4 linked regions of the Lonchura striata genome follow. The protein of the gene in region 1 interacts with the protein of each later gene in a biochemical or structural test. Links are inferred from orthologs where the notes say so. Each region holds a gene or a part of one and is shown in the gene's direction. Other genes may lie near its edges. The genes, in order: MAPT, MAPK11, UBE2W and SRC.

Region 1 (7,973 bases):
TGCCAAAGAGGCTTCTCTCCCCTCTCTGCAAAGAGCCTGCTGAGCACTCAGGGCAGCCTTTCAAACCGCTGCTGCTTCCTCTTCTGCTGCCACCTAAGCCCCTCTGCTCAGAGCCCTAATCTGGCTGAAGTTAGTGGACTTAGGGGCAGCCTGAGTTTTGCATCATGTTATGGAATGAGCTGGGTGATCTGGGGGGCAGCACCTCCCTGGCTGTGGGCACCCTGAAACGCCCTCCGAGAGCTCACGGGGAGGGCTGGGGTCTGCGCTGGCCTCGTGGGGTGAGCCTGGCCAGAAGTGAGGAGGAAATGAAGAAGAAAATCAAGGAAGGAAGATCCATTTCGTGCCTGGAGATGCTGCAGGAGGGAATGGAGCTGCTCAGGTTTCGGGTGAGGTGAAGGTGGAGCAGGTCACAGTTGTTTTATTTGGGCACAGTTATTTTATCTTGCAGACAAACGCACTCCCCACTCCTGCAGCTCAGGCCGTGGGCTGGGGTTTTGTGCTGGATAATCTGGTCTCTAATTGCTGCCCTGCTCCGAGGCAGCTGCTGAACTGGGCCTAAGCTGATTTGGGATGGCAAATTCTGTTAGTTTAATTCTCAGCAACCCTGAGGAACTTAGCAGGATGCAAGTGAGTGTTCCTTGGGTTTTCTCTGGCCGGGAGCCTGCTCTGGAGATCCCCGTGGTGTCCCCTGGCCGTGGGCAGGTTCTGCAGGGTCTGAGAGGGACTCTGAGGAATGGATGTCCAGCGTGAGTGATGAGACTCCTGTGCCCCAAAAGCTGCTCTGCTCTGAGCCCAAACCCATCTCATGTCTCTCTGAACAGTGTCCAGCTCTTGGGGAAAGGGGCAAAAGTTTAGACCTTCAAGGAGTTACTTAAACTATAATAAATATAGGAAAATCATAAAAAGAAAAAAGGAAGCATGCATTTTGGAGGCAGTTTCTTTTGCAACTCTGTCCTATTGCTCCAAGAGGCATTTATCTGTCTTTGAACCTCAAAGAAGTTTTCTGTCCTCTTGACTAGATAGCCTGAAATTCCATGTAATTTCTCAGCTCGCTGCATATTAGTGCCTGCAATTAATGAGATCATCGTCCATATTCCTTCCTCTGTCAACTTCTGGGAAAAACACTACTTGGAGAAGTACACAAAGGAGATGAAAAGGAAGTTGCTCATGAATTATGAAGAGCCTTTCAGGCTGATGTTGTTTCACGGTGCTGTCACTCTGTTTTAATTATGCAATTCAGATGGAATGATGCTTTTTTAAAGCCCTGGTTGTGTTTGATCACCTTTCAGAGGTAACACTTAGCTCGTGTTTGTTGAATTTTCATTTTTAACAACAAGAGCGAGTGCTTTGTGCCCTTTCTGATTAAATAACGGGGAAGGAAGATGCTGAGCAGGAGACAATAGCCAGGAGGCTTGGGAGTTACCTGGGTGATCATTTGGGTATTTTGGGGTTATCCTGTGGCTGGCATGAAGGGTGGAGCTGCTCGGTTGGGCTCGCTGGGTCCCAAACCCAGCCAGCATCTCTGCAGGCCTGCACTGTCCTGCTGCAGTGTTCCTTTTTGTGTTTGCTGCCAAGGCCGGGTTTATTTTGGGCTGGGCTGTGTAAATCGAGCCTCTGCTCCAGCCTTGTGACCCCGGGCTGGTCCCTGCTCTGCTCCCGGGGCCGTGCCCGCCGTGCCCCACTCGGAGCCTGGCACGGAGGGCTGGGGGAGGCTGTTCCAGATGTCTGGCACAGGTTACACATCTGGGTGCTCCCAGCTCTGCCCTCTGCCCCTGCCCTCCGTGGGGCACCTTGCTCTCAGCTGGGCTGCACCTGGGGTTTATCTCCCTTCCACTGCAGAGAAACTTTTGGCCAAAGGTGTGCGAGTTTGGGCTGCCTGCCTTAGCGTGGGCTCGGAGCCCTGCCGGGCAGAGGGTGCTGGGGGCTTTCTGTGGGGTTTTTTGGGTTCCCAGGGGCTGCAGGGTGGTGGCTCTGCTGTGCTGCTGGGCTGTTCTGGCTGTGCCCAGTCCTGGTGCCTCTTTGGTGGCCGGGCAGGAATCGCTGCTGCAGACTGGACGTGGGGCTGGGGACGAAGAGCAGCTCTGGGGTGACCTTGTGTGGCCTTCCAGCATCTGCAGAAAATGGGAAACACTGGGAAATACTTCCAAGGACCTGCAGCGACGGGACAGGGGAATGGATTCCAACTGAGAGAGGAGGTTTGGAGTAGATATTAGGAGGATGCTCTTCCCTGGGAGGGCGGGCAGGCCCTGGCACAGCTGCCCTGGATCCCTGGCAGTGCCCAAGGCCAGGCTGGATGGGGCTTGTCCCAACTTTCTGGGACAGTGGGAGGCGTTGCTGCCACGGCAGGGTGGCACTGGATGGGCTTTGAGGTCCCTCCCAACACCAGGAGGGCTTCAGGTCTGGAAAACGAGAGGTTTGGAGGAGCTGTTAATGATGGGATAGGCTGTTGCTTTTTAGATAGTGTCCCTGGTTAAGGAGAATAGTTCTGCTGGGGATGGATAAGGTTCTTTGGGGGGTTTGTGCTTTATCTGCCATGCAGAGGGTGCTGTTCAAGTTTATCTCTGTGCAGCTTTCTTTGCTCTAATTATGCATCACTGAGCCACTGCTTAAAGGCGGGGCTGGTTTTACACTTTTAAGCATATTTTAGAATTTTTTTTTTCCCCTTGATGTTATGTTTTTCTCTGAGAGGGATTTCCCCTTCCCCCACTCAAAAGGAAAAACAAAGAGGATTACCATTATGGACTTCTTTCAGAATTTTCATTCCATCCTTGAGAATTCGAATCTAGAATCTGTCATTTTAATAAGATTTAAATTCTCTTTGGTCACATGAATTCATGACCTGAGTGAAAACCCAAGGCCAAGCTGAGGCTTTCCTCCCTCCCTGTCTCTTGGCTCTGGTGCCAGGTGGTTTTGTTCCCCACCAGGGCACTCGTGGAGCAGCAGGAGGACGCTGTGCTCCATCTGCTGGGAGATGTTTCTGCTCTCCAGAGCGATCCAGGGTCCCCTGAGTGTCTCAGTGATGGACCTCCATGTTTTGGCCGTGCTTTTTTCCCTGTAAGAGGAAGGCAGCTCTTCCTCTCTGTCTCTGAAAAATTGATGGCTGCATCCCCCCGAGCCCCCCGAGCTGCATCGTGCGGTGCCATGGGGGGGTGGGGGCTGGCCCTGCCTGTCCCTGGGCAGCACGGGCAGGGCACAGCACCCCAGTGCTCTGCACAGCCCTGGCCCTTCCTTCGTGCTGGAGAGCCTGGCACTGGCTGGCAGTGCAGGCAGGTGAGCAGCAGCCCTGCCCGCAGCAGCCTCTGCTGAACCCAGCACTGCTGCAGCGCAGGGGCTGCAGCGCTGCATCCTGGAGAAATGCAGGGACTACCCCAGGCTGCATCCTGGAGAAATGCAGGGACTACCCCAGGCTGCATCCCGGAGAAATGCAGGGACTACCCCAGGCTGCATCCTGGAGAAATGCAGGGACTTCCCCAGGCTGCATCCTGGAGAAATGCAGGGACTTTCCCAGGCTGCATCCTGGAGAAATGCAGGGACTACCCCAGGCTGCATCCCGGAGAAATGCAGGGACTACCCCAGGCTGCAGCCCTGCATGCCCGGAGAAATGCAGGGACTTTCCCAGGCTGCAGCCCTGCATGCCCAGAGAAATGCAGGGACTTTCCCAGGCTGCATCCTGGAGAAATGCAGGGACTTCCCCAGGCTGCAGCCCTGCATGCCCGGAGAAATGCAAGGCCTGACGTAATCAATATGACCCTTTGAGCACTAGGAGGAAGGCAGCCATATGTCCAAATAATTAGGGCCCACTAATTAGAGCAAAAATTAGGTATTTAATTCTTTCTTATTTTATACCTCCATTTTTGTGGGTGATTTCATTCCAGTGCAAGCTCTCCAGCCTCCTTGGTTCTCCAGTGCTGTCAAATGGCTTTGTAGCTGTCTAAGGCAGTAATTAAATTGCAGAGTCATCTTGCTAAGGCTTAAAAAAAGCTGGCTGAGAGATCTGGTTACTGGCCCTGGAGTTTCTCTTGTGTGGTTCCATACATCCAGTTAATTTATTGCCAGCACACAAAACCACAAGTTTCCTCCTTGCTGCTGGTAACCTGAGCTCCACTGCTGGATTCAGCGGGCCCTGAGGGTCACGGCAAGCATGTGATCACACTAAAAGCTGATTATTAATCACTGCCAATGGCTGTAATCATACCAGCTCTTAGGAAGGCAGCTGAAAGCACTGTCTGTCCACCCGGCGCGGAGCAGGGGCAGGTAATGGTTGTTGGAGACTTCATTTCCTCTCGCAGATCAAGGCAGTTCGCAGAATCAGCTGGGAGGTTTGGCACCTTTCTGCTCCCACCCCAGACCTGTTTGCTTGGCTCTGTGCTGTGGTGAGGCTCTCTGAGCCTGCAGGAAGGGTTTGGGGTTAAAGCAGGGGCTGTGCTGTCCCCTCTCAGCCACAGCTGAGCGAGACCCTCTCCTCTGAGAGTCCAAAATCCATCTGTGGATAGGCCTGGTGTCCCCCCTCTGCCGCTTTCGGATGGCTTTGAAGATGTGTGTCCCTGCTGGGTGTCTCCACAGGGAGGGGAGGATCCCTTCCCACAGCAGCATCACACCTCCCCAGCAAATGCATCTCTTGGGGGACTGGTTAAACTGGGAAATGCAGAGTTTGGAGCACCAGGAGCCAGTCAGCACAGCCTGCTGCTCGCAGGGAGCTCCTGGGGTGAAGCTGTGTCAGGGCAGTGTCCTGGGTGCACCAGGGTGCTCTTTTTCCTTGGGACATCTTAAACACCCGTGGAATTTCAGTGCAGCTGGCAGGAGGTGCCTCTGTGTTTGTTGTGAGGGATGCAGTGACTGGCACATGCTTTTGCCTGTGCAGGAATGGCCAGACCTTCCCTTTGCTGCTGCTGTGACAGGTTTTGCCTAATGGGTGTTAGTTTTTACTCTCCTTTCCAGGTACCTTTGCTGAGAGGTGGCAGAGCAGCCTCAGGACACCACCATGATGGAGGATCACGCACCTGGCCAGGAAAAGCACTTCTCATCAGGTGAGCACGTCCAGGACGGGGTGGAGGACCTGCCTGGGCCCCTGCTGAGGCAGGGGGAGAGGCAGAGCAGCCAGGGGTGCTGGTGGTGCCAGGGCTCCTGGCAGGGACACTGTGGTCAGCTGGCTGCAGCCAGGGCACCACGGGGAGCCCACGGGGTGCTCCACGTGCACGGTGGCAGCGAAATGCTGCTCGTGGATCTCGCTGCCCACTGAGCAGAAGAACCCCAGACCAGGGGCGATCCCACTGCTGCAGCTTTGCAAGTGTGTGTTTGTGTTCACTCCTCAGTTTGCTAAGAAAGCACAGCACTTCTTTTTATTTGGGGTCACAGCTCGAGGGTGCTGCTTGCTGCCTGCCTTCCTCACCTGCACAGGGACCTGGGGAGAACTGAACAGAGAGCTCTGGGCGTGGGGGCCATGCTAGAGTCTTCCTCACCATATTTCAGACCTGCATTTCTTCAGAAGCTTTTCCTTTCTCATTCCACCGTGCTCCACAGCTGAGCTTGGAAACCCGCACCGCCCAGCAGACCTGGGGGGACTCACTCCTGGCTGTGCTCCATATAAACATCATCTTAATTTCCTTTTCTTGAGGTGCTTTGGACACCTCTTCAAGCAGATAAATGGATGGCCTCTGTCCTGGAGAGAATCCAGAGCATCCATTCATCCAGTAGCGCATTGCGGTCCGGCAGCTCCTCTCAGCTTGTGAAACATCACAGGTTCTCAGGGATCTCACTTCTTCTTTTCCAAATCAGTTTTTCCAGCTCTCATTATTTGATTTGCCTGCACCCTTGCTGAGAGGAGACTTGTGCCTCTTGCCCTGCTCTTCCAGAAGACTTTTGCCACGGTTTCTTGGCACAGAATGCTGTCCTGCAGCAGCCCCGTCACAAACACGGGCTGGTTTGCAGTCCTGGGAGTGCTCAGCCTGCTCTGGGAGGGAGAGGACAACAGGGGCTCAGAAGCTGCACATCTTTCCTCCTTACGTTGCCGAGATCTCCTTGCCTGCTTGTGCCATGCTTTGCTGTTTCTGCCTGCCCGGTTCACTGGGCTTTTCTTTTGCTGGTGGGTTTCCATTTGTTCCTTTCGGCGCTCACACTGGTGCTTTTGGTTGGCATTTCCACGCTTTGCTTGCTCTTGGCTCAGGTGGTTTTACTCTCCAGCTGCAGCTTCTTGCAGCTGTGGATCACAGCTGGTAACCCCCAGGCCCCAGCTCTTAGCCAAGGACCTGTTGTAAGTATGTGAATGTTTTCCAGGCTATCCCCTTCAGATACCAGTCGATGATGGATCGGATGAGCCTGTTTCTGAAACATCTGACGCTAAGAGCACCCCAACTACGGAAGGTGGGAGCTCTTTGACTTTCTGCTTTGGGACCATGCTGGACGGGGTCGTGGTAAACCTCGCCACAGACTCCCCGTGCCGTGTCCTGGGGGTTTCTCAGGAGGAGAACCCCTTTGTTAGTCTCATCACTAGTGGTGTTGGCTGTGCTGCAGAATGAGATAATGAGCCCCAGAGGTGCAGAGTGGGCTGCAAAGCAGGAAAGGTGAATTGTTCCTTGCAGCTCAGGAAGCTGCTGGTGGTTTGCTTCCTGCAGCCTTTACAGGGGCACTGCAGGGCCCTGGCAGAGCAGCCAGGAGCTGCTGTGTTGAGTGGCACAGGTTTGTGTCTGTGCTCCCCAGGTCCTGACTGCCTCGTGGGTAGAAAGGCTCTAACTCCAGAGTGGTCTAGAGACTTGTTCACTGTTGTAATTACCTTCACTTTTTGCCTTCCTCTGGCTGCTTTAATCCCAGGAATCTGCCTTTGGAGACTTGAGGTAGAGGCTTTAGCTTGCAAAATTGTTCTGAAAGGAAGGAAGGGTGGGCAGAGATGCTGAGCAGTCCCAGCCCTGTCCCGCTGGAGGTGTGGGCTGAGCGATTGTCAGGAAAGTGCCTCAAGAAATCAGGACATAAAACCTGTCTGGTGCAGGAGGGGATTTTGTCCTGCTTTCCAGCCGGGCTGGGGCTGCAGGATGAGCAGCCACCCCTCTGGTAGGTGGAGCTGGGTGTCCCTGCGTCCCAGAGCACGGTGCAGCCACTTGGGGTGCTCCGTGCAGCTCCAGGGGAGCTGCTGCGTGCTGCTCCACAGCAGCCGTGTCCCCGTGCAGGATTTAGTGGTGGATTTTTGGGCAGAAGCGTAGGGAGCGTTGTGTGGCAGGGGCCAGCTCGTGGTGTCCCTGTGGCTCTGGCTTTGGAGCCGTGCTTGGCCGTGAGGGAGCCGAGGGCTTCTCCGGGCAGGAAGTTCTCCAGGCCTGCAGAGGGCTTTGCCTCCCAGCAGCTGTGTGAAAGCCGTGTTGTTTTGCAGATGCCACAGCACCTTTAGTGGAGGAAGGAGACCACGAGGATCAGGGTGGTGCGGAACAGCACGGGGAGATCCCAGAAGGAACCACAGGTGAGGGAGACCAAGGTGCAGCTTCATCTCTTGCTGCAGACAGAGCAGAGAGCTGGACTGGTCGGTGTTGTGAGGCAACACCACGAAACCTCTCGCAGGGACGCTGCTCCCAGCCCTGCTTCCTTCTTCTCTGGAGAATTCCTCTCTCAGAGCTGTCCTCTTGCCTTCCCCGTCCTGGGGGGAACTCGCAGCCTTTTCTTCTCTCTTTCTCTGCTCCACACCTGACCATCCTTCTGTCTGGTGTCTCTGTGGTGGCTTTGGCTCCCACCTCCAGGCTCCTCTCTGCAGATCCGGGTCCTTCCCGTGCCAGCAGCCCCTGGGTGCCTCCTGCAGCCCCTGGGTGCCTCCTGCAGCCCCCGGGCTCTGCCCAGCCCTGGCGGTGTCTTTGGAGTGGCAGGTGGAAACCAGGCCACTGCAGCAGTGCTTTTAAGGGTGATGCAGAGCCAGTGAAGTGACTAATTCAGCCTGAATGCCCTGTGGGCAGCCACTGCACCTGGGCCTGGTTTTCCAGGGAAGGATGGGGCCTTCC
Region 2 (7,360 bases), on another chromosome or scaffold:
TCAGGTAAAGGACACTGATTTTTTTTTTTGGTCAGAATTACATTTTTAACAGGATATTATAAAATATTTCCCACCTTGCATCCACAGCAGTATGATAGGCATATGTGAAAAATTGTTATCAATGTCTGCAAACAATAAACATAGCTAGTGCAAGTGTTATTACAATCACAGAGATATCTAGTGGCCATCCTAATTCCACAGAGAAAGAATGTGGAAAGAAAGGAAGCGAAGCCTGAGCTCTGAACTCAAGCCATATTAGAATCTCTCTTCTCAGAAAGAATAGAAACCTATTCTTGCCATATAATTACTAGGATTTAACCCAGATTTTAAAGTCCTCAATCAATAGCAGGATTTCTCATTTGACTTCACACCTCATTATAGGTATGAAATGCCTTGGACTTTGAACTTGAGGTTCAAAATGAGTAACTAAATTTTAACTGTTTTCTCCAATGCAAGACCCTTCATGTTCTCTTAAGATAAAAAAAATGCTTTTCCAGTTTAAATATCTAAGACCTAACAGGACAAAATAGTCTCAGGCTGGAGCAGGTCATCTGAATCAACTTGGGTGCTATGAAGCCTTCCAAAGAGGCATTTGGCAACAGTGAGTTAATAGCAGAAATACGAAAGAGAATTTCATGGGCAACAAGTGTCTTGTGATTCAGCCACAAAGATACATGGTCCCTGGCAAAGCAATCTTATGGAAACCAATGTGTTTGGAGTAGGTAATGATTGACTTGCTATTTACTAAGGGCTTCATTTAGCCTTTCCTGATGTCTGTACTTTGTCTTTCAGGCATTACAAACAGTGGCAGCTTTCCTATGTTATAATTATATATTTGTAGATGTAGTTTCAGAAATTCACAAGAGCCTGCAAATAAAACCAATAAATAAATAATAAAAATATTAAAAATATAAAAATTAACAAAAATATAATAAAAATAAATCTTTCTTTTATGAAGATGTTACATATACCCTACATTTTCAAAAGAAAGGAAGCACCTTCACAGCATTACTATGTTTAGTTTACTGTTATTAACTTCAGGTGAAATCCATTAATGGACATCCCCCAAATACAAAGTTAAGTACGTAACAGATATAGCAAAAAACCACGGCGGTTCATCGTAAAACCTCAGTAATACTTGGTAGATTTTTAGTTAGAACTATCCTATATTCACAGCAATTGTATTGAGAATGGTCTGACCTCTGATCTGCAGTCTGTTCTATGTTTTTCAAAGTCTTTTTAAAATCAGTGCTGAGTTTACAGTAATATTATGATGTTTTCCACTAGGAAATTTTATGTTTTCAGTACTAAGTTGGCATTTTCTTTCATTGAGTTTTCACGTTTATTGTTAGTATGAAAATCACAATCTTTGAACTCCATTATATATTAAATTTGAAAATTCTAAATGGAATATAAAAACAGAACGAGAGACAGAGAATAAATGATAATTGAAAGGAGCCTGGAGGAGGGTAGGAAAGATGTGCAAGCTTTCTGCAATACATCAAACAAAGAATGTAGGGAAAATCATAGAATAGACTGAGTTGGAAGGGACCCATCAGGATCATCAAGTCCAACTCAAAAAAATAGGAATTAGGAACAACTGGAAATTAGTAACTCACAACTGGCCAAAATAATAAATTCCTTTGTTTTCACTGAGGTTTATTCTAATGAGAGTAATGTAGGGTTTGAGTATGCAGTGGGAGAAGAGCCCCAAGAAAGTTAGTGCTCTGCCAGCAAGTTTTCTTCCTTTGGTACCTGCTAGATTTGCTGTGTGTCTGAGGGACTGCATCCCACCCTGCCCGGGGACACAGCCTCTGCATGCCTGAATCCAGGGCTCCCTCACCAGCCAGAGGATCACACAGCTGATCCCACCCCACAAATTGCCTGGGTGCCTCAGCTTCCCCACTGCAGCACATGGGTGCCCCTCCCAGCCCTGTGCCCTATGTGAAGGGCAGTGATTCTCACTGCCCACTGCACTTCAGCCATCAGCCCTTGCCCTGGTGAGGATGCCGTCAGGGCAAGGAGGGGAGGGTGTGCAGTGTCCACAGTAGTTTCACGGGCTCTCCCTGTCCGTGGGAGTCCCAACACAGCTTCAGGCTCAGTTTTATGTAACAGACATTTCACAGACATTGAAAGTTCCTAAGAAGGCAACGTATGTACAGAAGCTGTGACCTTATCTTTTCTTCATGCCTTCACACCTCCTGTAAAACTGCAACTAAAAGAGAAGAATCCAGCTGACAAGGGAGCTGTCTCTGCCTCTTCCTCTTCCTTCACAGAGATGGCAAAGATGGATGAGCTGATTCTGCCATGGGAAAGGCAGCTGTCAGAGCTTGCTTTATGGGAGGCTTCTGGAGGCCTGGAACCTACCTAACTCTGAGACAACTCACAGTCTTTGCATCTTGATGTTTTCCATTATCTCCCTCATTAAACACAGTAGAAGACCATATACGTAGCATCAAATAAAACGATATCAAGCACAGTCTAAGAGTCATGACTGCAACACAAATAACTGACAGAAAGTGACAGAGAGAGAAAATTGAGACCAACTGTAAACATTTACCAATATTAACCAATAGTATTAAAAATAAATTCCTGTGGAAATTGCACAATTAAAAGCTTGGATAGACATGTACAGATGCAACTTCCAAAAATCATGGCTACAGTTAGAAAGAAATAATTTAATACACCAAAACACCCCTAGAGACAAAGTACAATAAAAGTCAAGAAGTAGGAGTATTTGTTCCATTTTAGCAATGGAAAACATTTGGGGCCACTTACTTTAAGAGCAAGTAGGACTGGGGATGGCAGTGACAGAAACATTTCTTCTTGGCTTGGTGAAGTGTCACTGCACTGTTACTCTGTTTTTAAAACTCCATAGAGTGGTGCTCAGAAAAATAAGATAAATTAATGTATTGTTGGATTTTTTTACACTTTTCACTTTCTTCAAGCACTATGCCCTCAGCATAGAAATTCAAGCGGGACCAAGAAGCAGTCTGGAGAGAACTGGAGAGGTCTGCACTGTAGGGGGTTAGAAGTGAGAACTAGACTATTGCTTTAGGAGCACTTAGTACTTTTTGAGTGGATGGCTGCAGATAAATGGCTACAGTAGTACCATTTGTGTATTTTTTTTATTTGAAATGCACCCAGCAAATGCCAAGTTGCTGGTGCTGTTCACTTGAACAGTCCTAGTATGGAAGCCTTGTCATGCAACATGGGCTGAGGTTTCAGAGCTGGAACTTGAACCATCCGGTGTTTGGAGCACCCATAACACTTGTCTTCTGTCTCATCATGCTCACAACTATTGAAGCATACGTGTTCTCTACACTAACATTATGTCCTAGCACAAACTGAACACCAATTTGCCAAAGCAAACCCTCCATAGTATATGAGGGTCCTGAAAAGCAAGGATTTATATTCCACAGTGATTAAAAGGCAGTGTAAGGCAATCCCAGTACAGTGAATCTATGCAAACAGGCTATGTACAAGTTACTTACAGATGATCAAAGAAGCATAAGAAGCCATAGAAAGAAACAATACATAAAGAAATAAACTGGTAGCATTGCAGTAGTGCTGCAATGATTTTGGAGCTCATCAAGATATTGTATAAGGTATTTTGGAGAGACTAAAACACACAGTAAAAAAGTCAGAGAACCTTTAACTGGTGCATGAATTTTGGACTTTTAGAGCTTTCAGGATTATCGGTTGTCTTGAGGGCTCGAGTCTTACTTGATGAAGAGGACTCAGATGATTGCATGCGGGAGTCAATGCGGTAAGGGGAAATTTTAGGTACCAGAGGACTCCGAGAAAACCCCCGACCTGCCCGGGGCTCCATCAGTGAGCGGGGGGGCCGCACTGGCGCAGGGTCACCGCCGCTGGTGCTGCAGCTCCAGCCGGGGAAGGGGGGATCCTGGCGGGCCCAGAAGGAACTTCAGGTGGCCGTAGCAAAGTAAGAAAGGTGTCAGCAAGGCTTTAGAAAGCCTGAGACACCAGGCGAAGGGCGGGATGGCCGGGTCCGCCCGTCCCCGCGGGGAGCAGAGGCGGCGGCGCGGGCGCTTCCCGCACATTCGGGCAGGGGCGGCCGATGCGGCGAGGCCGCCGCTCCGGTCCGTCACCGCCCCGGCTGCGATGCTCCGGGGCGGGATCGCCGCTTCGCCACTCCCCGCAACCCCCTGGGCGGCCCCGCGGAAAGACACCGGGAGCCGCCCCGGGAATCCTAGCCCCTTCGTCAATCCCCCTCCTCATCCCCACCCGGGTTCCCCCGGCCCTGGCCGCTGCCCCCACCCCTTCGGCCTCCGCCTTCCCCTCCCCTTCCCCTCCCGGTCCCTCCTCCCCGCCGGCGCCGGCCGTGCAGCCTCGACTGAGGGGCGGCTGCTGCTGCTGCTGCTGCCGCTGCTGCCGGCGGCTCCGCGAAAATGTCCGAGCGCGGCGGCTTCTACCGGCAGGAGCTCAACAAGACGGTGTGGGAGGTGCCCCAGCGCTACCAGAACCTCACCCCCGTCGGCTCCGGCGCCTACGGTTCCGTCTGGTAGGTGCGGGGCGGCGGCAGAGGGGCCGGGAGCCGGCAGGTGCAGGCGGCGGGCGGCGAGGACAATGCGGGGCAGGCGGGAGCCCCGGCGCCGCGCCGAGGGTGGTGTGCGGGCAGCGGCGGGGCCGGCGGCGGCAGCGGGGCGGGGGCGTGTCCGCCGGGCACCGGCGTGAGCGGCGCCGGAGCTCCCGCCCCGCTGCCCCGGCCGGCGGCCCCGCGGGGCCGGGCATGCCGCGCTGTCACCCGGGCAACCGCGCCCGCCGCCCGGGGCGCCCCTGCCCGCCCTCCGGCCGCTGCCCCGGGCCGACCCCCGAGCTCCGCTCCGCGCCGCCGCCGGGCCGCTCCCCGGGCCGGCAGCTCCGAGTGACCGCCCGCCGCGGGGCCGCTGCCGGCTGGTGCTGCTCCCGCCGGAGGGAGAGTTGCCCCGAAGCCGGGAATCCTGCACAGTCATGGCGGTTCCGAGCGGGGAGGACGGGCTGCGGCAGGGCTGTCCGAGCGGGGTCCGCCGCTGGCCGGGAGGGATCCCCGGCGGCCGCGGCCCTTCCAGCCGGGGCTGGAGCGGGACATCCGCGGCGGGGAGCGCTCTCCCTGTCCGCCGAGACAATGGGAGCAGCCCCCGGCGGGCAGGCTGAGGGGGAGGACGGGGTGCTCACCCGGTGCTTTCGGGGCGGGAGTCGCAAATTAGGACAGATTGCCTCCCAAGGGCTTCGGCGTCTTCAGGATTTAGAAGGGTTTGCCACATGTTGTCATAGAGCGTTTATCTTTCTTTGATAATTCTTACGTCAGCCTTGCACTCTCGGGAACTCCCAGTGAAGGCTGGGCTGTTACTTTAGTATTTGATGCACACTTTACTATGCTTATAAAAGCTTTGAGTCAATTTTCGGAAATAATAGTGGCGTTTAAGGGGTTTTGAGAAAGAGTCGTGTTTCTTTTGTAAGCTGGGCGAGTGGAAATATGTAAAACAATCCGTAAAGGGCCTTTAAATGCAAGTACTACTTTAAATAAAAATACTAAAAAAAATTATTTAAAACTTTGGGTTTTGCCATGCTCTAAGCTCATGCAGTAGTTCTCACTTTTTCTAGTCAGATACCAGAGAACATTTATGGAGTTTTGTATTAGTTACTTCATTCTCTAGCTCTGTAAAATGTCCAAGTTTGCACATAAACTAGGAACATGCATTTTTAAAAAACCTTCAACTATCAGCAGAAACACTCAGAACTGGTGTGAAGTATCTTTGGATTCTTATCTTTTTTTATTATTTCTAATTTATGCTTGCACCAGGGAGGTCTAGGCCAATACCATGTGAGTGTCATACCTGGCATTGTAGTTAGCATGTGCTAACTATTCCGAGCAGATGCTGGGAATAGTTCCACAACGACTAAATTTATTTACACTATAAAAATCTTAGTTTGTGAAAGAGGAGAAAGTAAACTAAAAGCCTGGATGGATATACAGTAGCAGAGTAACTACTTCTGTGTTCCAATTGAAACTGAATTTCTGGTTACTTTCCCTATTTATGCTGACATAGTTTTGAGGGAAAGACCTACTTTACTGAATTTTATAATGAGATGTCAAGACTTTTGAGAAATTGCAAACGAAGTGAAAACATGTCGTGGTTCACTTGCAGCACAGCTGGTGCTTTGGTTTTTGAAACTGCACAGCCAAGGAAATCCTAGTAATTTTTATCAATTGCAAAGCCTAGGATATGAAGATGTAAAATGGAAACTGGAACATGCTATGAGAAAGGTTTACTCTAAAATAGACATTTAAAAATAGAATATAGCAATAAAACATTGCTCTATATTAATAGCCTTGTTAACATCAATGAAGTATAAACCCAAACAGAAGCTTGAATATGAGGAAAAGGTATGCATCTCTCTGAGAAAAGCCATCTATTTTTAGAGTCTATTGAAATTGATTTTTTTTTCTGTCTGTGTGCATATGCTTTACCCAAGAGACCTACGAGATGCAGCCATTCCCTTGAGTAATATGCTATATTGCTTCTGTGAATAGTTGTACTCCTATTCAGTAAAATATCTAAAAACATATCCAAGTCTTACAGAAACTACTAGAATTAAACAAATTCTTAAGTGCTTTAATGAATAGCAGCCAAGGTCCTGAACTCCAAACGCTGGCTTTGAAATGAGAAGAGAGTTGTTGTAACAAATTTTTTCTACCTCAGTGAAACTCTTCTCTAGGCCTACCCTTTTCTTTTTTCACAGTAAATTATTTGTCATAGCCCGTAGACTTGGATAACTGAATTGATAACTGATAATAAGAAACATACTGTAAATACTTGCATTTAAGCATCTTTTGCTGGCAGCTCAAAACCAGTAGAGCAGTTTGTGTCAGGAGGCTGTGTTTTGGCCCAATTTTTTGGCATTTCATGTGTCCAGTAGAATTTGTGTTTGAGTTAGTTGCGGATGCATCAAATATGCTATGGAGACAGATACTACTGGTTTAAAACAGATGATTCACTTGTAGAGATATATCTGTACCAAGCACAGTGCATTCCTGTTTGGTGGTTTTTTTGTTTTTTATTTAGATGTGGAATAGGTATTAGGTATAAACCCAAATCATCCTTTGTATAAAGAGCTCTACTTCTTTTGTCAGTATTTTAATGACATATTACAAAGAACATTTGGTTTTTTGCAGCTGCACTGCAAAGTGGAGTTGCACCTTAGCATCTAGGTGAATCACAGAGAGAACTGTGAGGTCTTTCCCTCAAGCAGTTAATCCTTGAACTACTTTTTATGTTACTCTTGTGCTTTAGCTCTGTGCAAGACTTTCTTTTGCCTGAACTTTTCCCTATGGCCATTCAAGCTCCTGTATGTT
Region 3 (7,538 bases), on another chromosome or scaffold:
ATGCCTTTGAAAGTCCTGGGATGGAAATGACATTTTGCCTGTTACTATTGAGAACTAAGATGAAAATTAAATACACTATTGATGAAAAACCTACGTAATCACTAAGGAATAAATCAACAATAAAATCTCAACAGCTAAAAGTTCTCTTGCATTTGAATTTAGTTTTAATAAGCTATTCTAATTTTTAGCTATGTGTGCAATGTATTACTTTTATATTCTTGATATAATATTCTATTGATTTGATTCTGCATCTTTAGTTGAAGGTATCTGCAGGTGCACCAAGCTTGTTTATACAAAGATCTTAATTCCACAGAGTTTTTAAACTCAGTGCCCTTCCTAAATTGGCAGGTAGGAGTAGAAGAAGCAGTTGGCACAATTCCCCTGAGGGGCAGGGAGTTCTCCATGCTCAGGAGATGCAGTCTCCTGGCACTGCAGATTACAAGTGTCATGCCACTCAAGTAATGAGGGGAGTTAACATCAATGTACAGTTTACTTCTGTGTAAGGAGACAAGATGAAAAGCTAAAAAGTACAGTGGACACAGGCAAAAGAAATTGATCTCTCGTGTCATTTTAGAACCAGGACTCATAAAGGAGATGGTAGTGACAGTTCAGTGTGTAGAAAAATTATACAGAAAAAATAAAAAGGGTGAGAACAGAGGGAAAAATGTTTGGTGATATTTGAAAACATTATGGACAACATGGGAATAGAATGTAAAATTACAGGGACCCTAATTAAGAATTATATTTTACTTCTTTGAAACTGTCTTGGTATATCAGAAAATTATCTAATAAATGCAGTTTGAACATTAGTTGCATTTTTCCTGTAAGTATAGGGTTTTGGAAACTTTGAAGAAAAATGGATTTTTAGGTCAACTTCAATAATATTTACCAAAAAAAAAATTAGTAGGAGGTACAATTTCATTATTTGCTCCATATGTTTTTGATATGTGAGTCATAATGTATTTGATCAGATCAGTGTAAGATAGCCTCTGAAATAATTAAGATAACAGATTAAATTTCTCTTACCCCATAAGCTTTGAATATTTGGGACCCAGAGCTCTGATCCTTGAAATCTCTGGCAAAACTTGGGTTGACTGGTGAAAGATCAGACTGCATTAGCTAAATACTAAAGCAATCCTTTTAAGAAACCAGTTATTGTGCTTTCCATCTCTATACCTGCAACAGATTAGGAAGGGTTAACTACAGAAATGTTTTCTTCTATGTTTTGCATAGGTAAAGGTCAAAACTGAAATGAAAACCAAATTACAATAACTTACTCCTAGTGAAATCTACCCTCTCTGGGAATTAGGGCCTTTCCTTAGTGGGATTACAGGATAATTTAAGATACTAATATTCATATATTCTTTCTGGGAGTCTGATAATAGTGTTTCTTTTCTTACTGTGCTTAGGGGACTGATTCCTTAATCCCTATAGCATTATGCATTGTACAAAAACATCTCTGCAAGCAAGGTTACCAGGAAATGAGGAAAGGGGGAAAACCCAATAAAACACAGGGATAATTCTCCAGATTCCCCTATTCCCACAACAACAAGGAGCTAAAAAAATATTTCACATATATATTAGGCATTTAATGACACTTTAAAAAAAAACAAGATGTGACAATGGTTATAAAAGACACCTTTGGTAGTCCTGTAAGAATAAACTCAAAGTGTATTTGGGGATGTGGGATTCTGCCCACGAGTTTCAACTGCAGCATAATGCTTTAATTACTTACATACTCACTTAAAATTGAGTAGGTAGTAATTAACTCATGCTCTATTTATATGCAGGGCAAACTAGCCCTTGCTTTTCATGCCTAGTATCCTCAGGAACAGGATCTGCAGCATAGATTAAGTAATCTCAGTAAAGAATACTTCAGTAAAAAACTTAGTAAGTAGCTTGTTTTTAATATTGAAAAGCTCTGATAGATAAAAAAGACTTATTGAGCATAAGGGCAGTTAAAAGCTGTGATTTACATTTTTTTTTTTTTTGCAAAGATGGCTTTTTATCCAGAGATACTTTTCCTTTATTACAGAGTAGAAATCATATTTGTACTGAATACAGTTTGCCTAAGACCACAAAGCTGATCTTTCCATGCAAAACCAGCTTGCAGTCTGTTAAGTGTTCTGGCATTCACAAGCTTATGCTGCTTTATATCTTCTGACCTTCAACAGGGTTTTCTGGAAGAGGCGTAAGAAACTGAGTATAATGGTTTGAAATCAGTTGTATCTTGCTGTGAGTACATCAAAACAGATAGTCAATATGTCCATGTTTATAACTGAACACATGTCCATTGCTTAAACTTGATGTTCTTGCTGTCTTTGTGGCATATGGCATTAAGAGATGTATTTTAGGATAAACATATGTTTCCATCATGCAAAACAACAACTAGTAACTGTTCCACTTAAGTGCTGTAACAGCCTAAGTTCATTCTGAAGAACTGCAGGAAAGAGAAGCCTTTACCAGCTCTATGTGTCTGCTTAATGCAACAAATCCTCTGCAACCTAAATGGTCTTGCAAAAATCATATAGTAATACATACTGACTTCCAGGGAAAACATGGCTGAGCAATGTCAGGTTGCATAGCATCAGGAGCCCATAATTTATAAATGAGAATTGGATTTGGAAGACAAGACAATGTATAGGATGCAATTTACATGACTATACTTTTCCCATCATTACTTTTGGTAGCCTAATTTCCTTTCCTACTCAAAAATCAACAAATAATGATTTGGTCTTCAGCATAATCTTGCAAAGCCATGGGGCTTGTTCACTTCTGCAGCTATCTCACAGGGTAAAGATACTCCTGCTGTCTTCTTCTGCTTAAAGGGTTCTGCCTTTTAAGCAAACCCCAAAGTTTGTATGCTTACTTTAACAGCGATGACAGTGTTGATACTGGATAAAAGTTGGAAACTGATGCTAAGTTGTGCTGGGGTTTTGTTTTTCCTCCAGTTACCCATTTTCAAAGTTAAGGATATTAAAAACTTACCAGAAGGTAAAGCTTGTACGTAAAGGTAGTACTTGCATCACACTAAATAATATGGTTGAACAAGGCAGACTGGCTTTTGGGTGCAGAACCCTTCTAGAGGTCTAAAATTAACGAAGATTTCAAAGGTAGTACAAACTGCAAACAATTGTTCAATAATTTGGTTTTTGCTTCTCAGTCCATCTCTGAAGAAAAAATCAGGGCTACCACTGGAGCAGAGGTGACCCAAGAATTTTTTAACATTGTCAGAAAAGGAGAGGGGTGAAGGGGCAGAGGAAGGGGCTTCAGTGTTTTTGGAATGTGCAGCATGAGCAGTGGGGAGACGGGGATTATAATGACCTCTAAAATCAGTTTCTCTATTAAATCCTTAGTTTTACATAACCACTGGGATTATAAATTTTATAGGTTGTTTTTGGATAAACATTTTGTAGGTTTATCTTGAGGATCTGTTAGGTCTGAAATACTCCAGCAGGAATAACAGCTTTACGAAGCGTGTTTCCACAAGTTGTTTAATTTATTGATTGCACACAGTCACTCTACTGAGTGCTGCCTGTTTATTTTCACCTACACAGGTACGGCAAAATCACCTGGTGCAAAGGACAGGGATTATTCCAGTCCAGGAAATGAAAACGTAGAACCCAGGAACGCTCCGACCTAAAGCACACCCACGTTCATTTGGAGTCATACACGAGCAGACAGCAGTGCAGGAGAGCCAGATGAGCTGTGGCACAGCAGCACCAGGGAGCGCACAGAAGGAGCGCGGCGCCGGCCCGGGGCGACCTGCGGCGGGGTCCAGTGACAGGACATGGAGTAATGGCACACACTGAAGGAAGAGGGATTTGGGTTAGGTATCGGGAGGAAATTCTTTACTGTGAGGGTGGTGAGGCACTGGAAGAAGAGGCTCGTGGATGCCCCATCCCGGGCAGCGTTCGAAGCCAGGCTGGAAGGGCTCTGAGCAGCCTGGCCTGGTGGGAGGTGTCCCTGCCTATGGCGGGGGTGTCGGATCTAGATGATCTTCTAAGTCCCTCCCCGCTCCTTAACATTCTATGGTCCTACGATTGTATGGCACTCGCACCAGGGAAAGCCCGGAGAAACCCACACGACGGGCGGGCGCAGTCCGAATTTAACCGAGTGACTTAAACACTGCACGTGGACCTCTAAAAACCTTCACAAACTGAAGCGGGCTGGGGATCAACCCCTTCCCGCCCCGCGGGTGGCGGTGATGGGCATCGCGCCGCTCCCGCAGGGCGAGCAGGGCACGGGCAGCGCCGGGGCAGCCTCCCCGGCGGCGGGACCGGCAGCTCGCAAACAAACACCGCCCGCCCGCGCCGCTCCCGCTCCTCGGGGCCGCCCGCGCCGCCCGCGCCCCTCCCGCTCCTCGGGGCCGCCCGCGCCCCGCCCGCGCCGCCCGCGCCGCCCGCGCCCCGCCCGCGCCCCGCCCGCGCCCCGCCCGCGCCCCGCCCGCGCCCCGCGCACGCGCGGCTGCCCAACGGGCGGGCACGGGCACGTGACCGGGGAGCGCGCGGGGCGGGGCCGGCCCGGCGGCGGCGCGGAGGGGAGGGGGAGGAGGCGGACCCATCATGGCGTCGATGCAGGTGAGGCGGCTGCGGCGGAGCCCGGGGCAGCGCCGGGGCCGGGCGGCGGCGCGGGGAGCCGGGAGCAGCCGTTCCGCCGGGTGTGTGCGTGCGCGGCGCGGCGCGGCGCGGCGCGGAGGGAGGAACCGCCCGGGCAGAGGTTGAGAGCGGCGAGGTCCCGGGCAGCGCGGCCGGGGAGGGCAGGTGGCGGCGGACGGGCCGGGATGGAGGCGAGGCGCGCAGAGGTGTGAGGGGCGAGGCCCGGACTCGGGCGGGGCGGGCGCGGGGGGAGGCAGCGGGCCCGGGGCGCGGGGGAAGAGGCGCCTCAGGGAGGCGTCAGGGGCGATGCCGCCGCTTCCTGGGCAGGCGAGGGAAGGGCGGAGGGATGCCGGCCCCCGGGACTTGGGAGGCCGCGGATTCGCTGGGCGCCGTGGGAACGTATGGCACCGTGCGGGCTGCGCGGTCAGCGGGGCCCTCCCCGTGTCGGCGTGGGACCGTGACCAACAGCCCTGAGCTCCTGCGATTCCCCCGCACGAGGGGGACTGGGACAGGCACGTCCTGCTCCAAGCCGCCTGCTGCCCGTGGGGTTCTCTTTCTCTCCGTAAAATGAGGTTGCGGTGTGGGGTCAGCTCTGGGGACAGGTACCGTCTGGCTTTCTCGGCCGGATGGTATTGCTGTAGGTACAGTAGGATGGAACATCCTGCTGCCTGACAGGTATTTCCAGCTGAATTATTCATTCATACCTACTCCGAAGGGGTTCTTAAACAGGGGCTGCAGAAATTTCTCTGGTAGAATGGATCGCTTTCACTGTGCTGCTTTCAGTGGGTAATGCTTTATTATGACTGGGGCAGGAGAAAAGAGCTCTAGGTTTTGTGGCAGTGGCCCCTTTCTCTCCTTATTTAACCAGTAACTTCTCTACTTTTTCTCGGATATTTATAGTTTTCCATTTTGTTTTTATATTTGAATCATCTAGATCTCATTTTGGTCCAGTACAGCTTACATTTTTTGTCACTAGTAATAGAACAGCATGGAAAGAGTGTATAAAATGAGTGAAATTTGTTTAATTTTCATAATAAGCTGGATTTAGCATAGCCAAAAAGGATTTAAATGTCAAATTATTGAACTGTATGGGATAAAAATTATTCTCCTGAAGTTTAGAAGCATAACTCCCCCTTCCTCCCCCCATTCCTTGGTGTGTCTTTCACAGTTACTGAAATGAAACGAGATCTAGAAATTGAACGTACTGTACAGAATGTTCTTTTAGCAGTAGCTTAGCAGGTAGTCTGATGTGCCTTGGTTTTATTAGCTCTATCTGTCAAATGCATTTTTGCAATGCTCTTCTTCTAATGTACAAACTTTTACAAGCTCAACTGCAAAATAGAGGCTGTAGTTTCTTAAGAAGTGTCCTTTAAAAAACCGTGTGAAAAGTAGGAAAATGGCAGCTGTGAACCGGGAAAGAGGCACGCTGTAAAGGGACTTGGCAGAGCTGTGCTGTGTTGCTGTCTCTGGCCTGGTAAATGACCTTCTACAGCGTGCCTCACCCTAATTCCTGTTGCTCCCTCTGTAAAGGGAGAAAAATGGTTACATATTAAATGAGGTTGTTGAGGATACAGGAATGACAAGTGTTGTCTAAACGTCAGATGTGTGGAGGGTAATACTCACTTCCTGAAATACACCCTGTTAAGTCTGATGTTGTAATTGCATTCATTTTAGAAATACCAGCTGTAAGATGGCACTTTTTGTTTTCTTACGTGATGTTCTGTTGTCTTTTGATAAGAGATTCAAGGACATTTATGGAGATTTTTTGTCTGTATGTTGCTAATTGCATAATGCTCTAATAAATTTCTGATGTTTAGTAATCTGCTAATTTAATAATGTAGTTTAGCATGTTGGAAAGGAGTTGTAAACTGGAAGCATAAATGCAAATTTAGTAAGTGAACTTACTAAATTTAGTAAGTTTATTGTAGACATGCTCCCAGATGACCAAGATTTCAAGACTGAATTCTGTCAATTAACATTTAAGTGTTCAGTGTAAAAAAATGTTTTACAAAGGAAACCAATATCTATAATTTTAAGTGGTTTTTTTTTTTTTTGGTCCAGAATCATTTATTATAATTACTGCTGTGTACTAAGTTACTTGACACAACAAAAAGATGTCATATTTCTGATTAAGTATAGTGTTTTTAAATACACAGTGTTTACCTGAAACGTTTGTGAAACTCATTGCCATCTCTGGCTCTGCTAGTGGTGTGACACTGTACTATTATGACAATATTATTTATTTTATTGATAAAAATGATACACTGGTGCACAAAGTAAGTTCTAATTGCTTCTTACACTGCTGTAATTTTATACAACAGTGTATGATGCCCCAAGTTAATTACATTTATTTTAACAGATTCACAGAAAAGTCTCAGATTAAGTTACAAGAGTTATCTGATTAGCCTGTTCTTAGTCAGTCTTCAGTGAAGCTTTGAAACTTGTAATAAATTGCCTCTTTGCTGATGGCTCTGAGCAGCAACCTGAACAGTTACTGCAGTTCAGTGGATGCACAGTAATTTGTGACTCTGAGTCTTTGTATGTATCATTAAACTTACAGTGATTTTTATCTGTGTGGACAATCTGTAATGGGAGTTTTCTGTAACCCTTTTTTTCCGTGACAGTAGAAGCCAATGCTTATGAGACCTTGTGTTTTGTTTTCTAACCACAGTGTTGTTGCTAATTTGCCACTGCTGGACTGGTTTAAACCTGGTTTGCATAACTTTAGGCAAATCATATTTTTTCTTAAAAAAAGCTAACACACCTTAGACAAGCCTTTAAAGGAAGAGCACTTATTTTCAAGAATTTTCCCAGAAAAAGCCCAAGCATGTGCTATGTTTTCCTGGATAAAAACACAGAAATATTCTGAAAAGGTACAAGTAATGTAGAACAAGGGAATAGAATGGATTTGCTTTAGAAAATTTTGATATAGCATCTTTA
Region 4 (7,789 bases), on another chromosome or scaffold:
GGAATCAGCTCCAGACGTTTCCTGCTGTTATTTGTGCCTCAGCTCTGGCTGCACGGGCAGGATCCATGCTGGGGCTGTGCTGCTGGTGGGGAGCTTGTGGGGTGGCATCCCTCTGGCTCCCTGAGGGCAGCTCTTGCCCAACACTGCAGCTGCAGGGCTGTGTGCAGGAGAGGGTCCTCATGGCTGTGGTTCCACAGAGCAGCTGCTTGTGATGCTGTGGTGGCTCCTTTGGTGAAGCAGATATCCCCCAGTGTCAGGCCTGGGCAGGAGGAGCAGATTTTGAGAAAAGCTGCAAGCAGTTCTCATCCCTACCTCCCCCCTCACTTAACTTGTTTTAAACTGAGCTGGGATCCAAACATCACATGGTTTAAGTTTTCCAGATTCAGACTGTGGCCTCCTTCGCCCATCCCTCGCTCCAAGGACCAAGACTGGATGATTAAGGGGAAACACCCTGGTGTCTGCTCCTGCTCTGCCTGCTCAGGCTGCAGGCAGGCCAGCAAGCAGCCGGGTGCTGGCAGGGAGGGAACATCCCAGCCCTGGGGCAGGGTCTCCTGGAGGTGGCTACCAGAGCTCTGCACCAACCAGCTGTCCCCTATTGCTCTGCTACCAAATCAAGCCAGAAGCAGGGCAATAAATCTCGTCTGCATGAGCTTCCCTGAGTTTTTCTGAATTGCCCTTGTCTATGGATACTAGACTGGCCAAAAAGCAGAATTTCCATGCTGGGAGATGCCAACATCTTGTGTGTGGCTTTCATGCTGAGCTGAGGCAAGAAGCAAAACGAGTCAGATTTTTGCCCAAACGAGCTTTTCCAAGATACTTAATTCAGATTGTACCAAAGCATATTTTATCAGTCATAAACCTGACAGGAAATGTTGTGCCTTTATTGACCATGCAGATAATTTCAGCCCACAGCTGTTGAACTCAGTGCCTCCTTATTAAATATTTGCATGTCACCGAGTCAGTGGTTTCCCCTGCAGCCCTTTCCCCCAGGGAATTTTGCAATGACACTTCCTGACAGGAGCTAAGGGCCCCTTTTGCATAGCAGATTGTCACCACGATGGGGGACACAACAGGTCCTGAGTCCTCCTGGTAATTTCTTCTCAGATAAACCTTTTTCCTATAACCTGCAAGATGCTGCTCGGCTCCTGCAGCTCTGATGCTCAGTGTGGGAGAGAATGGCCAAAATGAGCATTTCTAGCATGAAATATTGCCAAATGGCTCGTGCTGCAGGGTTATTCTGGTCAATCCCCCTTACTAAATCAGCTCCTGAGCTTGAAACTGCAGCTTCCCTAACAGGGCTGATGGTGCTGATCATTTCCCATCTCACACCACTATTTGCAGGGCTGTAAAGCTCAATGATCATAAAATCTCAGGGCAAGAGCCACGGCTGCCTCTCTCTCAGGCCAGCATCTCAAACACAACCATTACATTACTAATAGTAATAATTCCTGCAACTGTATTTGCAATTTGCAGTGAACAAAGTGCAGCCTCAGGAACAGAATCCAATAGACAAAACTTATTCACGCGTGCCAAGGGGATGCTTAAAAATAAAGCTGGCTGGAGATGAATAGATGTTTTGTTGTAAATCTGCAGTTACGTTAGGGAGCTCAGGGCTCAGATCAAATACTGGACACAACGAGCACCCTCTTACCTCACAGGAGGATTTTAGGAGCCCTGTGGAGCAGTTTGATCTGCACACCTGGAAGGGAAGGAGCCACGTACTTACTTACTTACTCATGAGCATGACAGCATCTGCCCACAGTAACTCTCATTCTTCTTGTTGCTGATGAAACTCGTGTAAAGGTCAGCAAGAAAACACAGAAATACCTGAGCATGTCTTAATTTCTTTTTCAAGTATCATTTCAAGACGTCCTGTAATAATCGAGCCACTGGAAATACTTGGTGCTACTTTTTGTTCAGATTGAAAGTACCTGGTTTTCAGTTTCTATAACCCGCTTCCTCTCTCTGGGGTGGGTTTTATCAGCGCTATTTAAAAGTGAAGAATCATATCAAGAAAATAAGTTTCGGACAAGAGACTGAAATCCCTGGTTGGGTGAAAAAAGCATCAATTTGCATTAGACTGCTTAAAGATAAGTATTTGGAGAGAGGCAGGAGGCAAAGGGAAGTGGGTGGCCAGGGGATATCAGGCTCCAGACCTCATGTCCGAGCCAGGAGTGTCCTGAGGTGAGCTGTGTTGCTTAAATGGTCTTAAATCACACTATCACCAGCAATTCGTGTTTAATGTCAGCCTTGTGAGGGCACATTCCAGCATTTGAGACCAAAAGATAAGAGTCTGGGTTTAGACAGTGTCTGTTTGTAATTTTGGATTTTCACATTGGCATCATCTTAGAGGAAGAAGAAGAGGTTGTGTCGTGGACTTGGTCTGGCTGTTGAAAGGCACAGCGCTGTGGGTGTTTGCCTTCCAGCCATGGGCCGGCACCGCCAGAGATGGGAACTCCGATTGGGAGGACAGCCTGGAGAAAAGAAGTTGATTGCAAAAGAGAAAAACAAAATACAAATATTTATAAGTCACAATTGCATCTTAGATTTGGGTCTGGATCCAGCAGAGGCTGAGTCATCCTCACCGGCTCGCCCGGGGCTGGAGCACCCGCGGGGTGCTCTCCCCTCCGGCAGAGCTCCGGGCTGGAGTGGGTGCTCCTGCCGTGGGGAGGGACAGGGGAGTGTCCCCGTGTCCCTGTGCGGCGCAGCAGGGTGAAGGTGACCCCCTCTTTCCCCCACGTTACAAGCAGAGCAGTTCCCTGACTGCCCCACAGCACGGGGTGAATCCATCGCAGAGCGGATGAGGAATCCTCCCCTCCACAGCTGAACAGCAGAGGGGCTGGGCTGAGAATTAACACCCCCGAGCCCCGGAACCAAGCGGGCTGCGGTGGGATGCTCCGGCACGGAGCAGGCAGGGCTGCCACCCCCCCGGAGCACACACGCCACGGGTGTCCGGGGAGCCCGGGCGGCCTCGCCCAGCCCTGGGACGGAGCCGAGAGGGAAAGCGGCTCCTGCCCGGCTGGAGGGACCTTATCGGCGCCAGCTCCTCCCAGGGAAGGGCCCCTCGCAATGCGCTGGCCACGGGTGATGGATCGGCGCGTGCATGACTCCTTGTTCCTGGTGACTCATGGATTCGCTGGCCTTCGCCAGTGTCATGGGAAATATTTTTTTAATAACTCAAAAGGCGGAGGGGGAGTGGGAAACAGAAATTTAAAAAAAAAAAAAACATCACCACCATAGTTCTTTAAAAGTTTTTAACTTCCCAATTTGTTTCTGAAATGTCGGATCTTCCTCAGAGGAAGGAGGGTTTTCAGAAAACCCCCGCGGAGTGGCTGCAGGGTTGGTCGGAGGGGTGGGCAAGGATGGCAGAGGTGGTGCTGGCTGTGGAAATACAAGGGTCGCTGCAGCCGGCCAGCAGCCGAGCGTGCCGCATAAAAGACCTAAATGTATGTGGGTTTAAGGAGTGGACTGCTTCACCCCCTTTCTTCCTGGAGGGTAACGTGACAGGGAACACTTCAATGGATCGCCGGTGGCTGAGGTGGGAGGGCTGCCAGCGCCGCTGAGCTGGTCGGGCAGCCCCGACGGGCTGGGTGCAGGCATCGGGGCACCCGGCTGAGCCCTGAGCCCGTGTGTGCACCCCGGAGACAGGGCAAAGCTGGGCATTTCCCACCTCCTGCTGCTGAGGAGCAAGGGGAACGACGGGTGGAACTGTTCCCGCGTGCCCACCTGCCTGAGTGGAACTCGGGGACACACACACCTGAGGGGGTGATGCTGCCAGCTGGAGAGTGCCCTCCCCAGGAACACCCGCAGCTCCGTTCTGCCTTGTTTTGGATCCGGCACCGGCTTCAGGGGCGACCGGGGCTGGGAGATGTTAACCCCTAAACCCATGGACGCCCCAGCGGAGCACAGACACCGCTGCGTGCCCGTGCTGCCTCCAAAGGGCCCCACAAAGTTCCCCGGGTTCCCAGGGAGGCCCAGGACGTGGTTTATCTTTGCCCGCTTTTCCATCTGAAGTTTTGCCTCCTTCCGACTTCAGAGAAGGGGGAACGTGGGTTGCAGCCCTCTGGGAAGCCGAGGTGTCCCTCCTGGGGATGGGGAGGAACACAACCTGACAAAACAGCATTTCCCCTGCAATTCGCCGTGTGTTAGAGCTGTTGAATAAAGCGAACCGCAACCCAGCCAGGAGGTTTCAGCCTCCTGAAAATCACTTTTGTGTTACCAGCTCCTGCTTCCAGGTAACACGCCGAGCCAGCCCGCCGGGACGAGCAGCGCTGGGCTCGGGTGGGAGCACCCCCAGCCCCTCACCCGCGGGGGGACGCGCCCTGAGGACCGCGGCCGCCGCTCCCACGCGTGTCCCCGGCGCAGCCAGGCGGTTCCCCCGCCGCGGGCCGGGACGCGCCGGCAGCGCCGGCGGCGGGGGCGGCCCCTGGCCCGTGCGCGCCCCGCGGAGCCCGGCTGCCCGGAGCCTTCTCCCTGGAAAAAAAAAAAAGCCACGGAGGGAGGGGAGGGGCTGCTGCTGCCTTTCCCCCCATCCTCCGTTTCCGGTTTGCTGCCATATTACTCTTTTATTTTTTTTATTTTTTTTTTATTTTCCCCTCCCCGTGGTGCTGCCCCCCGCCCCGCAGACGGGGTGAGCGGGGGCGGGCGAGGCACCAGCGCGCCGGGGCCGCGGCGCTGCGCGATGCTGCTGCCGGCGGCGCAGCGCTGAGCCCGGCCCGGCGCGGGGCGGCGCGGGCACCGAGCGCGGCGGCGGCGGCGGCGGCGGCGGCGGGGGGCGGCGGCCGCGCCCCCGGCGCGGAGACAAAGCCGGGGCCGAGCGCTGGAGGCGAGCGGCGGGGCGGCCCCGTCCGCGGCCAGGCGGAGGTGAGCGGCGGCGGGGCTGCCCAGCTCGGGGGCAGGCGGCGGGGTCCGGCGGGGGGTGCCTGGGTCCGGCCGTGGATCCGGCGGGGGATGCCCAGGGTCTGCCCGTGGATGTCCGCAGTGGGGAGCGGCGGGGCGGCGGGGCGATGCCCGCAATGGGATGCCCGCAGAGCAGTCCGGCGGGTCGGCGGGGAATTGCCCGCGGTGGCGCGGCTGTGGGTCCGATCGGGGATGCTGGCACTTCGGCAAGGAGGCGGTGGGTCCAGCCGAGCCTGCCCAGGCTGCCGTGGGGCAGCTGTGGGTCCGGCAGCGTGGGATACGCTGCCTGCGGATCCCCGCAAGGATGCTGGCGGTCTGGCGCCGGGTGTCAGTGGGGCGGCTGTGGGTCCAGCGGGATGCACATGGTGTGGTGGGTCAGCCGTGGGTCCGGCTGGGGGTGGCACTGCCTGGCGGGGCAGAGCTGGGGGCGCGGGGGTCCGGCGGGGCGGCCCCGCCTGCCTGCAACTCCCCTTTGTTGTGCTCGGGGGCTGTGGGGGACCCCCGGGAGCGCAGGGCGGGGACAGCTGGGCTGTATGTAGGCCAGGACATGAAATATTCATCGCCCCCCTGCTTTGATGTCTCGTGATCCGCTTCCCTTGTTGTGTTTGTTCACCGGTGATTCTGGGGCCAGTGTCCAGCCCTGGTGGACCTGGCAAGTCGTGCCCCTCCTGTGCCCCTCGCTGTGCCCCTCGCTGTGCCCCTCCTGTGCCCGCCTGGCTCAGTTGCTGGGGGGCTGCAGAGCTCTGGTTTCTCCGATTTAAGACTTCATCCAGTCGGGAAGTTCCTCGTTGCAGCCTGGGCAATCCGGCCCCCATGCGTGGCTGCAAGTGGTGGCAGTGGTGTGTTCCCACTGTCACAGCCCCCAGTGCCATGGAAGAGCACCGTGGGCTTTGCCCTGAGCCACACTGGGGTCAGGATGAGGTTTTATCCTGCTCACTGCCCAGAGAGGCTGTGCTGCATCCTGGGGCCACTTGGGATGGACACAGGAGGCAACCTGCAGGGATGGAACTGCTGCACAGGGCTATGTGCACGGGGACAGGTGTGGTAGGGGGCTGGCATCTTGTGGCACTGATCCTGGCATGGTCCTCTCTGGTGTCGGGCATCATGTCAGGGAGCAGAGCAGTCTCGTGTGAGACCTGCTGGACTGAGTGGGGATCTGCTCCACCTCCCTGTGCCCTGCACAGTGCACTCTCCTCTGGCATTTCCTCACCCCAGTGGCTGCTGTGGTGTGCCAGGGCTCAGCCCTGGACTTGGTGCCAGGAGGTGACTGTGGTCCTGGTCCCAGTCCCAGAGATGTTGAGCAGCAGTAAAGGTTGTAGGTGGCAGGGAGCAGGTTGTGCTTCCCTGTGTGTGCCATGGCCCATCCTCTGGCTCCCCAGAAGTGACGCAATGGAAGGGACATGATGTGACATGCAGCCAGGTGTCCCACAAGACAGGGGCATTAGGAGCTGGGGGCAGTGGAGGGTGCAGAGCACAGGGTTCCCTGAGGTGAGCTCCTGCCTGTGCAGCACAGAACATATCCAGCAGTGCTCTATGAAACTGCATGAAGGCAGTAACAAAAGACTTGATTTTTCTTTCTCCTGCCCATCTGGTGCTCCCAGAGGAGGAGGTGCTGGGGGTCTTTGTTGCTCTCCTCTCAGCCAAGGAGATACCCACTGCCAGCATGACCAGTGCAAGAACCGAGTCGTGACGAACCTTCCCAAGATCCAGCCATTAGTGATGGGAATCCTTTTGTCCCTGCTAGACTTGGAGATGCCCCTCAGAATCCAGTGGCTCAATGTGAGCCCAGGTCCCCCGTGCAGCAAGTGTTGGTCAGACAGTCACAGGGCTGCCCAGGAAGGTGTGAGGAAGGGGATATGGAGGATGACATCAGCAATATTGCACTTTAAAGAAATATCCTTTCTGTTATTTTTACTGTTGGGCTGCTCTAGACACCTTTGCCATAGAGCTTACCTGTGCTAAGCCATCAGCTTCAGCTGGCTCCAGATCCACCCAGAGCAAAACCGTGGCACTCGGTGTCTGAGCCGAGGCTTGTGTGCTGTGTCTCTGTAATCATTAGCCAGTTAATGCTGATATATCACGAAGGAACACCTTTGCTTAGGAGACGAGGGTCAATTCTCACTTCCAAGCTTTGACCTGGGAGCAGCAGGGCAGGGGCTCCTCTAAACACCTCCTGGCTTCACCAAAACAGCCCAAGACAGGATTATTTATGGGCTACACAGCAGCAGCAGCAAAGGGAAGTCCAATGTTCCCTGTCTCGATCGTTAGTGGCCTTGCAGTGCTCCCTGTGTGATGGAGATGCCCTAATGATAGCTCTGCCCTTTAATGACTTTGTGCCAGAGTGATGGAAAATCAGGGAGGTTCCGAGGGGAGGCAGAAAGGGCCATCCCAGCCCCTGGCTGGGGAGCAGGGGATGAGACGAGGAGAACGCTGCGGTGACCAACCAGTGTGGTGGCTCTGCTGCAAAGACAAGAGGGTCCTCTTCTGTCTTGGTGGCATGGAGGGGACATCAGCTATCCTGAGACAAGGTTGGCCTTTAGCAGCACGGGCAGGTCCTGCAAACCAGCATCATTTCACTGGACTCACTGAGGCAAGCAGGGGATGGACCATGGGACTCTCACGTCTTCAAAATCCCATCTGTCTCTCCCTGTTACTGGTGTGGGATCCTGCCCGGCCTTTGAAGTCATCACAGAGCTAAACTCTTATCTAATGAGACCTGAAGGACTTGGTCTCCAGCCTCTCATTTAAACAACCAGCAAACGCCTGTAAGATCTTGAAAGAGAAGAGGTAGGAGCAAGCAAACAGCTTGCACCTCCTCCCAGCATGTCTAAGCAGGGCATCCCTGGGACAAAGCACTGGACTCCTGGCACGGCTGTGGGAAATTGGAAAG

What was found.
Region 2: of the proteins of MAPT (region 1) and MAPK11, one has a biochemical effect on the other in vitro, tested with the Homo sapiens proteins (2 studies listed by BioGRID). The link is inferred for Lonchura striata from reciprocal best matches to the Homo sapiens genes MAPT and MAPK11.
Region 3: the proteins of MAPT (region 1) and UBE2W are reported together in a solved structure, tested with the Homo sapiens proteins (2 studies listed by BioGRID, with this or other methods). The link is inferred for Lonchura striata from reciprocal best matches to the Homo sapiens genes MAPT and UBE2W.
Region 4: the proteins of MAPT (region 1) and SRC form a complex in vitro, tested with the Homo sapiens proteins (3 studies listed by BioGRID and IntAct, with this or other methods). The link is inferred for Lonchura striata from reciprocal best matches to the Homo sapiens genes MAPT and SRC.

What each region holds. Positions count from the first base shown.
Region 1 is NC_134627.1:8,748,523-8,756,495, forward strand, and holds the start of MAPT (microtubule-associated protein tau), read left to right. Parts: upstream 1-4,960; 5' UTR 4,961-4,981; coding exon 4,982-5,027; intron 5,028-6,273; coding exon 6,274-6,360; intron 6,361-7,357; coding exon 7,358-7,444; intron 7,445-7,973. UniProt on the Homo sapiens protein: Promotes microtubule assembly and stability, and might be involved in the establishment and maintenance of neuronal polarity.
Region 2 is NC_134607.1:30,045,255-30,052,614, reverse strand, and holds the start of MAPK11 (mitogen-activated protein kinase 11), read left to right. Parts: upstream 1-4,346; 5' UTR 4,347-4,412; coding exon 4,413-4,525; intron 4,526-7,360. UniProt on the Homo sapiens protein: Serine/threonine kinase which acts as an essential component of the MAP kinase signal transduction pathway.
Region 3 is NC_134603.1:32,205,205-32,212,742, forward strand, and holds the start of UBE2W (ubiquitin-conjugating enzyme E2 W), read left to right. Parts: upstream 1-4,537; 5' UTR 4,538-4,565; coding exon 4,566-4,580; intron 4,581-7,538. UniProt on the Homo sapiens protein: Accepts ubiquitin from the E1 complex and catalyzes its covalent attachment to other proteins.
Region 4 is NC_134619.1:9,505,587-9,513,375, reverse strand, and holds the start of SRC (proto-oncogene tyrosine-protein kinase Src), read left to right. Parts: upstream 1-4,786; 5' UTR 4,787-4,863; intron 4,864-7,789. UniProt on the Homo sapiens protein: Non-receptor protein tyrosine kinase which is activated following engagement of many different classes of cellular receptors including immune response receptors, integrins and other adhesion receptors, receptor protein tyrosine kinases, G protein-coupled receptors as well as cytokine receptors.